Linked DNA regions of Saccharomyces cerevisiae S288C. The gene in region 3 interacts genetically with the main gene of each other region. Each region holds a gene or a part of one and is shown on either strand. Other genes may lie near its edges. The genes, in order: DFP2, CIN4, BMT2 and PIR5.

Region 1 (2,497 bases), on a different chromosome or scaffold from region 3:
GAGCCACATTTTTCTCAATTAAATATGCACTGGGTTCGTCGAGAAAATCCGACTTGGCGTCGGTACTTTCTGAAGATGTTTGCATGCCCAGTTTATATCTTGTCTTCTCTATAGCTCTGCTATGGTGTTGAAGGATGTTATGCGGATCAAAATAGCGATCTGTCTTATACCAATTGAAACTTTTCATCACCTGCTTTTTACTTCGGAGGCATTTTTCATTCAATACTAAGTTCCGGAATGATACAAAATAAAAATGGTATTGAGGCGACATAAGTTGTTAGCACAGCAAAGATGGTTGCGGGTTAAGTTTTCTGATCGTTCTGGGAGAGTATTTACGTTAAAAAATAGGAATCAATTAAGCATAATCATGCCGTTTTGTGTGCTACATATCTGTTTCCCACTATATAAAGTCACGTTAGAATGCAATTTATCTAATTTACTACCCCATTTTAGCGTCAGTGGATTGGTAAATCCCTTTGCTAGCAAGGTACTGTCAGAATATTTCTCCTTCCTTTCAAATAATTGCACCAATATCTTGCCAATACTTCACTTGAGATTGTTCTACAATATCCGCTGTCTTGGAAAGCAATTTTGAAAATCTTCTCCGGGATTTAATGTGAAAGATTCGCCAGCTTCAGTCTCCTGTACATTTTCCTCAGCGTTGCTTGTTGGCTTCTCGAAAGTTCTTCCCTCAATAAAACTTAGAAAAAGACGGTGGCAATCTTCTTCGCAATAAAAGTAGTAAGGAGTACTCCATATTTTATGGTCAAATAGATATTTATTCATCTTGTACGTGATAATGTTTCATTCCCCTTTCACCGAACGCTGGCGTGTGCTTACCTCTAACGAAAGCCTAATATTAGATGCTTTATTGTCGGTCTGTCCCGGAGATGAAAAAAGAGGATAGAAGGGACATGAGATGGTATACTCGGAAATTAGTCAGTGAAATCAAAATTACAGATGCCAGGAACATAATCATTATCGGCTTACAATGAGCCCCCTCGTAACACGTAAAGTGAATAACTTAAGTACGAATTGAACATGTCTTTGGGAAGGACCACATTTCCCTCAACTAAATTGGCACCATCTCCACTCAACACATCCAGTCTAATATTTTTATTTTGTGGTTGCGATTGCATACACGATTTGAGTACTAAATTTTTGACGAATGTAATACGGACCAAACAACAGCTTTTTTATTCACTAGTTATTCTTATAACTACAACACCAAACCCTTTTTGAGATCCTTTTTTTCTTTTTCTATTGTTTGGATTTTCTTGGCTGCATTATGCGAAGCGCAACAATAGAATGTGACAAAAACTGACAGAACCCTTATTAAACAAATATGAAAACCTCTAAAAAAACTTACAAATACGATAGTTGTAGGCCATGATGTTTGTACAGCTCGAATATATGATGCTCAATTCTGGCTTCGAGATGTTCTTGAATTCGATTCTTGTTCTCGTTTTAAAGAAAAGTAAGTATACTTGGTGAATAAAATGCTTCCGCTTCAAGGTAAATCAGCGTCAGGATATTGCTTTCTCCAGTATTCACTTTGAGCCTCCTTTTCTATTTGTGTTGCCTTCAAAACATATGCCATCAAAATAGGGTCTGATCTAATACTATAAAAGTTGTTTAGACCATTTGAAGTCTTCCCTGCTGAGACAGGTGATTGTGTATCCTCGGCACTATTCGATGAGGAATCCGAGTGCGAACCAGAATTCACTTCCTTGATAAGAGTGGTGAAGAACTCATGGCACTTCTTGCCGCTATAGAAATAGTACGGGGTATACCATAGTCTCTTCATGAATAGATATTGGTTCATATTATATGCGACAGTACCCCATTCCTTCCCCGCAGGCTTGCGTGCGATCACCTCCACTAAAAGCTTTATCATGAACTCCTGTTCAGTGATCGCTTTCCCGAATGTGAATGCTGCAACCACCATTAAAGCCATGGAGGCTACTATAAGGGACATCACTAAGATCACAGTGCACCCGTCGTTATCATGAAAAAGCACAATCAATGAGATCAAACTCACGATTATGATGATCATAAACATGATCGGTTTACAATGAGCAATTTCATAAAGTACATAACTCAGATGTGAACTGAATGTGTCTTCGGGAAGAGCTACATTCTCTTCGATTAAATGTGCACTGGGTTCGTCGAGAGTATCCATCTTTACGTCGGTATTTTCTGAAGGTGTTTGCATGGTCAATTGATATCTTGCCTTAATATGGCACTTATAGATGTTATCCTGATCAAAATAGCCAGCTGTTTTATGCTTTTTTAACGTTGTTCACCATTGTATTTATTATTTTTGAGGCATTTTTCACGTATTGTTGCAACGTCCCGAAGGGATTCGATGTGATCGAAAAGCGTCCCGGCTGATCTATTGTGATGACCAGCTATCTCACGTTGGCGAGCATCAAGCCGAGGATCATAAAGCAAAATATATAATAGCATTTGCATCTAAAGTAAACTACATAAAATT
Region 2 (3,004 bases), on a different chromosome or scaffold from region 3:
GATATCTGCACCGGATCATTCGGGTCTATCGTAGGTGGAGGATGGGCGTAGTAAACCTGTTTTGACACTATGTTATTACTGAGATTCGGAGAATTATTGCTTTGAATATTCATCCTGCGCGAGTTCTAGCGTTGCGTGATTAGTGTTGCCGTGTTGTAATGTAATGCTATGTCAAGATCTTGCCCAGTAATGTGTGAATCAGACGTCGGTGGTTGGCTATTCTGGAAAAAAAGGTGTTAAAATGCAATGCGCCAGAAAGAAAAGGAAATAAGACAATGGCAACGACCGATTGGAAATAATCTGCTGGTCTTCCTACCACTCCTTCTTGTGTAAGATCTTCAATGGACCCGTGCTTTGTAACCCGCAAGCCTTACAGAACCCCTTGGTAGTATTATTATCCGGAGTGAGCAGAAGCCACGAATGCGCACAGTCGGCGGGTAATGAACTATCACGCTATAAATACTGACATTATTTAAAGTTTTTATATGGTGCTCACATCTTAGACGATTATTGGGTAAAATGGCAGGATTCCACCAGACGGTCACGCAGGTTATCAATACCTTCTCCGGTAACGCCACTACATTTGACGAGCTCTATTCGGATGTCCGGCTTGAACAGACACTTCAACTCGCTCTCTACCAGTAAACACCTTCGATGAAGCTCGGACTTGTCCTCCACTAAATCAATCTTGTTCAACACAACGATAACAGCACACTCGTATCCTATTCGATTTTCGTCTCTATTGATTAATTCTTTTAGTTCTTGCAAGGTTTCGTCAAACCGCATTGAAAGGCTCACATCTATACACCATATCATCGCTTGTGTCTTATCAAAATAGTTATCCCAAAATGGCCTTAATGTGCGTTGCCCCCCAATGTCCCATAGAGATATTGTCACATCTTTTATCATCAGACTATGTATTTGAAAACCCACAGTAGGCATTATACCATCGTTATTTTGCTCATCCTTGGGCAATAGTTTGTTTACTATCGTTGACTTCCCCGAATTGTCTAGTCCTAGAATCAGACAGCGAATTTCTTTGTCCCTGAGCTTCTGTTTCCTGATAATACTTAGTAGTCCCATGTATTCTTCTACACCTTAAGCTTCCCTCTTATTATCTTTATAAATTAGTGCGATGGCTTTTTAGATTTTGTCATGGAAACGGACTGAAAAAGTACTAGTAAAATAGCAATATAAACATAATCAAATACCTGCGTCAAAACTCATGTTAAGCAGCATACGCACTAGTGACTAATTTGGGTGGTCGGTTGATTATGTCAAGGAAATCTATAGTGCAAATAAGAAGATCTGAAGTAAAGCGGAAACGAAGTAGCACCGCTAGCAGTACAAGTGAGGGGAAAACTCTTCATAAGAACACACATACATCCTCTAAAAGGCAGAGAACTTTGACAGAATTCAACATCCCAACTTCATCGAACTTACCTGTCCGTTCCAGTTCATATTCATTCTCAAGGTTCAGTTGTTCAACATCCAATAAGAATACAGAGCCAGTAATTATTAACGATGACGATCACAATAGCATTTGCCTTGAAGACACTGCAAAGGTCGAAATCACCATAGACACAGACGAGGAAGAACTAGTTAGCTTGCATGATAACGAAGTCAGCGCAATAGAAAATAGGACCGAAGATCGAATAGTAACGGAATTGGAGGAGCAAGTAAATGTTAAAGTCTCTACAGAAGTTATTCAATGTCCTATTTGTCTAGAAAACCTTTCTCATTTAGAATTGTACGAAAGAGAGACACACTGTGATACTTGCATAGGCAGTGACCCGAGCAATATGGGAACACCTAAAAAGAATATCAGGAGCTTTATTTCTAATCCATCATCTCCTGCAAAAACGAAGAGGGATATAGCTACGTCAAAAAAACCAACAAGAGTAAAACTTGTTTTACCAAGTTTCAAGATAATTAAGTTCAATAATGGCCACGAAATAGTTGTGGATGGTTTCAATTATAAGGCCAGCGAGACTATCTCTCAGTACTTTCTTTCTCATTTTCATTCTGATCACTATATTGGACTCAAAAAATCTTGGAACAATCCTGATGAGAATCCGATCAAGAAAACACTTTACTGTTCTAAGATCACTGCAATATTAGTAAATTTAAAATTCAAAATTCCAATGGATGAAATCCAAATTTTACCCATGAATAAACGCTTTTGGATAACAGATACCATTTCAGTAGTTACGTTGGACGCTAACCATTGTCCCGGTGCAATAATAATGCTTTTCCAGGAGTTTCTGGCAAATTCGTATGATAAGCCTATAAGACAAATTCTTCACACGGGGGATTTTCGAAGCAACGCCAAAATGATTGAGACAATTCAGAAGTGGTTGGCCGAGACAGCGAATGAAACTATTGACCAAGTTTATTTAGATACAACATATATGACTATGGGATACAACTTTCCTTCACAACATTCTGTGTGCGAGACTGTGGCTGATTTTACATTACGGCTTATAAAACATGGTAAAAACAAAACATTTGGAGATTCACAAAGGAACCTTTTTCACTTTCAGAGAAAGAAAACATTGACAACTCATCGTTACAGGGTCCTATTTCTTGTGGGAACATATACTATTGGAAAAGAGAAGCTAGCCATCAAGATATGTGAATTTTTGAAAACAAAATTATTTGTTATGCCGAATTCCGTTAAATTTTCAATGATGCTAACAGTTTTACAAAACAACGAAAATCAAAATGACATGTGGGACGAAAGCTTACTCACCAGCAATTTACATGAATCATCCGTACATTTGGTACCTATAAGAGTGTTGAAAAGTCAAGAAACCATAGAAGCTTACTTGAAAAGTTTAAAAGAATTGGAAACAGACTATGTGAAAGACATTGAAGATGTTGTCGGGTTTATACCTACCGGGTGGAGTCACAATTTTGGTTTAAAATATCAAAAGAAAAACGATGATGATGAGAATGAAATGAGTGGCAATACAGAATATTGCTTAGAACTAATGAAGAATGA
Region 3 (3,167 bases):
CAAATTAGATTCTATGGGAAGAACAAGTAGAAGCCTATCAAAAAAAAGATGCTTGGTCAAAGAGTATTCCATTGGGAAATTTTTTTTGTCTTGCGGATCGCTTTGATTCATTTTAGAAAGAGCCTTAATCTTGTTGTATGTTATATGCTGAAGAAGAATGTTAAGTTTGAAGCTCTATTTGCAGGGCAAAAGATGATCACTTGACTTTATACGCTTTCGTTAAATAGCTTAACCACGCGCTGAAAACTACTATGAGCCCAATGCCAATAAAATGATCAAAGGCGTAAATGAAACCGGTACTGTGTAATAAGCGGAAAAAAAAAAAACAGTTAATTGTTTCAATCGTAATACAAAGCGAAAACCTTTAGTATATTAGTTTTATATGAGCAGTAACTCTTGTTATTCTCCTTCGAACACTGTTCATTTGCTCATCTTTTACTTAACGTTTTTACACATCTTTCTATATTGTATCCCTTTATGAAAAACTTCCAGGCGGTGTCGGCTCGCTTAGAGGGTAATACCAAAATTGTTCAACCCAGGGCCGTCGTTAACCTTGATTCTTTTGGAAAAGCTACTCGGCTGCGGTGGAACTACCTGCAATTGATACAAACAATAGTACAACTTATTACTTTGATGGCTATTAAGCATTATGAGCCCGATAGAGCCGAGGAGGTTTTGTAACAGTGTTTTGTCGCAGTATCTTGAGTGCGTCACACAGGCTTGTGGCAGAACAATAAAGATGTAGCCTTGCGGCTTGAGAAATTTGACCATGCGATGGCACATTGCACCGCGATCCCTGTGATTTTTGACAAAATTTAGCACTAGAGAGCATGATATCAGGTCGAATTTGTCGTTTTCATTTCTCGGTAGCGGTCTTTCCATAAAATCCTGCTTAATAACGCCTTCATGTTCCTCTAAATCTATACGAACCACATTTCTAAAAAGTGCACAACGGGATATGCGATTTCCGGAGCTCAATGAACCAATTTCTAATGCCACTGCTCCAGGACAATTTTCAAATGAGGACCTGATCCATTTCTCGAGCAACTTGGACGTGTCTCCTCCTCGTTCCTTCAATTGCCCGTTTTGACTGGCAATTTGGTAAGTTTCTAGTCCTCCCAATTTATTAATCTGATTCATTATGTAACCAAGTAATGTGTACATCACAGCCAAGTCAGAAGTATCCTTTGATTTGGATTCATTTTTAATTAATGAGTGCAGCCTCAGTAGTTGTGATTCCATAGCATCATTGAAGGACTGCGATTTGCCGTCTTCATAGTACTTGCCCAGTCTTACATTACCTTTAATACTTAACCTGATAATTTTGTCATTCTTCTCCTCGTTGGAATCATCTAGGTTTTCCTTAAGGCATAAAAACTTGCATATCGATTGACGCTTATTAATTAAATGGTGGAATCTTCTTATTATCCTTCTTGTCTTCTGTGGCTTGATTACTCTCGTCACGTTACTTCCTACTTGCTTCCTCTTGCCCGTAATACTCTTCGACTTTCTTGAATGCATTCCGCTGTATTAGTGGTATCGCTAAGCTGATACAAGATTGCCATCAAGGTCATGGCTAGCTCATCGATATTATAATTGTTATATTTTTTTTCACCTCACAAACCCGCCTCAAGGTTAGTTAGTCCGTACTTTTCTTTTTCTCTGAAAAACTTTTCCAGCGATGAGCTTATAAGAATTTCCATCTAAAAAAGTTATATTCGCCAACCTGCCCATCATTATCATCATAACCTCAGGTAGAAATTCTTTAGTCAAATACCGGCATAATCAGTTTTTCCATCATGGGTAAGAAAAGGGCTCCTCAAAAAGGAAAAACGGTCACAAAGCCACAGGAGATAATTGTAGATGAATCCAAATTGAACTGGAAACCAGTAGATATTCCGGACACTTTAGATGACTTTGGTGGATTTTATGGCTTGGAAGAAATTGACGGAGTGGACGTTAAAGTCGTGGATGGTAAAGTAACTTTCGTCACCAAAAAAGATTCAAAAGTGTTAAAAGATAGCAATAAGGAAAAAGTCGGAGATGATCAGGAATCTGTGGAAAATGAATCAGGGTCAGATTCGGAGTCCGAGCTCCTTGAATTCAAGAACTTGGACGATATTAAAGAAGGAGAGTTGAGTGCAGCATCTTATTCATCATCCGACGAGGATGAGCAAGGTAATATTGAGAGTTCAAAGTTAACCGATCCCAGTGAGGATGTGGATGAGGATGTGGATGAGGATGTTTTGAAAGAAAACGTCTTTAACAAAGACATTAATATCGATGATATTTCTCCTGTAAATTTACCTGAATGGACGAATCTTGCACCTCTCTCAATGACTATTTTGCAGAGCTTGCAGAATTTAAATTTTCTCAGACCTACAGAAATTCAAAAAAAGTCTATTCCAGTTATTATGCAAGGCGTAGACGTCATGGGGAAAGCCTCTACAGGTTCAGGTAAAACTTTAGCCTATGGTATTCCAATTGTAGAGAAACTGATCAGTAACTTCTCTCAGAAAAACAAGAAACCAATATCGTTAATCTTTACTCCTACAAGAGAACTGGCGCATCAAGTCACAGACCACTTAAAAAAGATCTGTGAGCCTGTTCTAGCGAAATCTCAGTACTCGATATTATCTTTGACAGGTGGACTCTCTATCCAAAAACAACAACGTCTATTAAAGTACGATAATAGTGGCCAAATTGTCATCGCAACACCAGGTAGATTTTTGGAACTGTTGGAAAAAGACAACACTTTAATCAAAAGATTCTCGAAAGTAAATACGCTAATCCTTGATGAGGCTGATAGGCTGTTACAAGACGGTCATTTCGACGAGTTCGAAAAAATCATTAAACATTTATTAGTAGAAAGAAGGAAAAACAGAGAAAACTCCGAGGGCAGTAGCAAAATTTGGCAAACTTTGATCTTTTCTGCAACATTCTCCATCGACTTGTTTGATAAGCTATCTTCTTCCCGTCAAGTTAAGGATAGAAGGTTTAAAAACAACGAAGATGAGCTAAATGCCGTAATACAACACTTAATGAGCAAAATTCACTTCAACTCAAAGCCGGTTATAATAGATACAAATCCTGAGTCAAAAGTGAGCTCTCAAATCAAAGAATCCTTAATTGAATGTCCTCCATTAGAACGTGACCTATACTGCTAT
Region 4 (3,292 bases), on a different chromosome or scaffold from region 3:
GGTCTGGCATGCCTATATCTAGAATCAAATAGCTTGAATAAGTCCAAAGAGCAAGAAGATCCCCATGCCATCGCAGAAGACGACATTGTAAATATAGTCCATGACGCTCCCAATAGAATATTCAAGCCAGCACTTGATACCTATCAAGAGAAAGAGCTTGACTTACAAAAGAGTGACCTCCATAAAGTACTTCATTCTTTGACGTACAGTGATGTCTCTCAATTTTCGATTGTTTGGGGGTTTCTCATTCAACTTTCGAGCCTAATAGGCAATTCCACCTTAGGCAAAAAATCCATTCTTTATAAGGGAAGTGTCGTTAGTGTTTTAGGGTTCCCACCGTTGATTTATATGGCACTTAAACTTAGGATGAAACAGCTGGAAAAAGCTGGAGTGCGCTTTGAGTAATGCAGAAGGCAACATCTCCGAAAATAAAAACGATGAAGTAAATGAAAACTCGTTTGTGAATACGTAAAATTATAACGCGCCCCATACATAGTAAGACAGACTTACTTTTATACTATTATTTTAGTTATATTTTTGAAGTACAATCAAGACCTGCAAGATTATAATGTTGGTGATTCAACAATCGACGAGACCAACTGTTTGTAAATGAACGGGATTGCACTGGCCCCCGATAGACTGATCGTAAAGGTTATAGAAAGTGCCCGACAGACATTGGTAAAACACGTCATTATCACCAATAGCTAAAGTGCCATGCTTCGTTATCGACCAGCCGCCAGCGTAAATAGCGCCCGCCTGTGGAGGTGGACCATCAAATTGGAACTGTCTGTTTGCTACTATCGATCCAATTCTACCACTGGAGTCAATAAGAACACCTCCTTGTAACGTTATTGCCAAGGTGCCAGAACTTTTACAGGCTTGCACCTTGATCACTTTTTCATTATTTGGTTTCTTTGTTGGCTCTAACTTACTCTTGGAAAGCACAGAACTACTACTGGCTGAAGAAATAGTAACTTGCACTTGACCATCATGAATCTGAGAAACAGCAGTTGCGGTTGAAGTTGCTGTCGCAGTTACAGTTTTACTTGGAACAGCAATTGTGGACTTTGTGACAACATTTTTAGCTGTAGTTATTTGTAATTGACCATCGCCTATTTGTGACACAATATGTGACACTACTGGAGGCACCTTCTGCGTTGTAACTTGTATTTGGCCGTCTCCAATTTGCGAAACTGGATGAGGTAATTTTTGTGTCGTTACTTGCACTTGACCGTCATTAATTTGTGAAATGACGTTTCTTTTGACCTTACTTTCAGTAACGGTGAAAGGTATAACAGCGAGACCGAATGAGGTCCGGTACTCTGTTGTGCCACCATCCATTTTAGAGCTTGGAGTTAAAGTTGCCCAGGGTTCAGGTGGAGCGTACGCAGTTAGCGCAATACTACTTAATAGAGATGCTAGAAATGCTTTCTTGTAATGCATATTGGGGCGGTGTTCACTTCTTCAGTAAGTTGTATAGAATTAAAAAATCGAGACTAAACAGAAATTTCGAAACAAGAAGATAAGTATATGTATACAAGTTATTTTACTCTTTTAACTGTTTTCGTTTCCCCACTCTTTCGCAAAAAGAATAATTTTGTGAGTCAAAACAGTCGAATTTTCTTGCACAAAAAGTCGATATTCTTTTGTGACTCTGTGTAACTTACTTTCTACAGCTTTTGTTACTCCACTTCTCTTATATATACCCAATGATTCACTCGTAATATATCAGAGGAACGTTAGAATTTCTGTATTTTCTCAGGAATCCTACAAAATTAGAGGTGAAATTGATCAGGTTAAGGAGCAGAAGCCCACTATATAAGTAAGATGATATCAAGCCTAGTTGGATGCCTTCAGGAACGGCAAATAGGATATGTGAGCTTGGCAAAGGGGTTTTGATAGAGTAACAATAGATCCTTGCTAGCCAATGCGACGTTCCTCTGTAGTTTTTACCACAGTTTTACTTAATTTCGTGCTTTGTCCCTTTTTGGCAAAAAAGTCGGATAATGTCTTCACTATATTTGTGTTTTCGTCTTTTAGGAAAAGCGTACTTTAGTAAACTACAAATTTGAGCTGAGCTAATTTCGGATTAGTAAAAGATGCAAGGAACAGTAAAAATTAAAATAGCGATTGACCGAAATCAGTCCAAAAATTACTACAACAAGCAAATCCAATTAAAAACAGTAAAATACTTTAAGTGCATTTACCGTTACGAACAACATATGTCCTAGTTAGTATAGTAGTCTACTAAGTAGCAAAAAAGTAGAAACTCTGTCACTATACCAGCCATCAGTTCATAGTAAAACAGTAAAAATTGTAAAAACAAGCAAAAAAAAAACAAGAAGGAACAAATGCACCAAACTGTTGATCTATTCTGCAAAAAAAAGTATGGTAAATTTTTTCCATTATCCTGGCCGCTAATCCATATGGAGGTGAACTTAGAACTTGCACAAGGATGCGATGAATGATAGGCTTTGTGCTATAATTAATGCAGGCAGGTCCGCCATGTCCAACACGTTGCTGGCCGCAAAACGAGTCAATCTCACTGCTTTGCCACGCTCATTTCTCCCCCCTTCTGCCCAATTAGGCGACCCTCACAATGCACATACACATTTCCCACCTCTATTGGAAGGGGCCGTAAATGGTAATTCTTGGGAGTTATTCATATTAAGTGATCTTACTATTTCCTATTTCGGAAATTATTAAAGACAAAAAAGCTCATTAATGGCTTTCCGTCTGTAGTGATAAGTCGCCAACTCAGCCTAATTTTTCATTTCTTTACCAGATCAGGAAAACTAATAGTACAAATGAGTGTTTTCTCAAGCGGAACACCACATTTTGAGCTAAATTTAGATTTTGGTCAAAATAAGAAAGATCCTAAAAAAGGAATGGTTGGTGAAAAATTTATTAGCTTGAATGGTAGGAATCCTCGAGATATAAAAGGAACACTTGAAGTCTAACGACAATCAATTTCGATTATGTCCTTCCTTTTACCTCAAAGCTCAAAAAAATATCAATAAGAAACTCATATTCCTTTTCTAACCCTAGTACAATAATAATAATATAATGCAATACAAAAAGACTTTGGTTGCCTCTGCTTTGGCCGCTACTACATTGGCCGCCTATGCTCCATCTGAGCCTTGGTCCACTTTGACTCCAACAGCCACTTACAGCGGTGGTGTTACCGACTACGCTTCCACCTTCGGTATTGCCGTTCAACCAATCTCCACTACATCCAGCGCATCATCTGCAGCCACCACAGCCTCATCTAAGGCCAAGAGAGCTGCTTCCC

What was found.
Region 1: mutations in BMT2 (region 3) and DFP2 together harm fitness more than expected from each alone (negative genetic interaction), as found in Saccharomyces cerevisiae (2 studies listed by BioGRID).
Region 2: mutations in BMT2 (region 3) and CIN4 together harm fitness more than expected from each alone (negative genetic interaction), as found in Saccharomyces cerevisiae (2 studies listed by BioGRID).
Region 4: mutations in BMT2 (region 3) and PIR5 together harm fitness more than expected from each alone (negative genetic interaction), as found in Saccharomyces cerevisiae (2 studies listed by BioGRID).

Annotation. Positions count from the first base shown.
Region 1 is NC_001133.9:184,610-187,106, reverse strand, and holds DFP2 (DUP240 family protein), read right to left. Parts: upstream 787-2,497; coding exon 562-786; downstream 1-561. Other genes in the region: pheromone-regulated DUP240 family protein PRM9, read right to left, coding at 1-271; KTD1 (DUP240 family protein), read right to left, coding at 1,511-2,215.
Region 2 is NC_001145.3:543,234-546,237, reverse strand, and holds CIN4 (Arf family GTPase CIN4), read right to left. Parts: upstream 1,084-3,004; coding exon 508-1,083; downstream 1-507. Other genes in the region: serine/threonine protein kinase RIM11, read right to left, coding at 1-113; DNA cross-link repair protein PSO2, read left to right, coding at 1,275-3,004. UniProt on the Saccharomyces cerevisiae protein: Implicated in yeast microtubule function.
Region 3 is NC_001134.8:526,518-529,684, forward strand, and holds BMT2 (25S rRNA (adenine2142-N1)-methyltransferase), read right to left. Parts: upstream 1,522-3,167; coding exon 508-1,521; downstream 1-507. Other genes in the region: GTPase-activating protein IRA1, read right to left, coding at 1-111; MAK5 (ATP-dependent RNA helicase), read left to right, coding at 1,800-3,167. UniProt on the Saccharomyces cerevisiae protein: S-adenosyl-L-methionine-dependent methyltransferase that specifically methylates the N(1) position of adenine 2142 in 25S rRNA.
Region 4 is NC_001142.9:117,383-120,674, forward strand, and holds PIR5 (beta-1,3-glucan linked protein), read right to left. Parts: upstream 1,444-3,292; coding exon 580-1,443; downstream 1-579. Other genes in the region: FMP33 (Fmp33p), read left to right, coding at 1-405; heat shock protein HSP150, read left to right, coding at 3,067-3,292.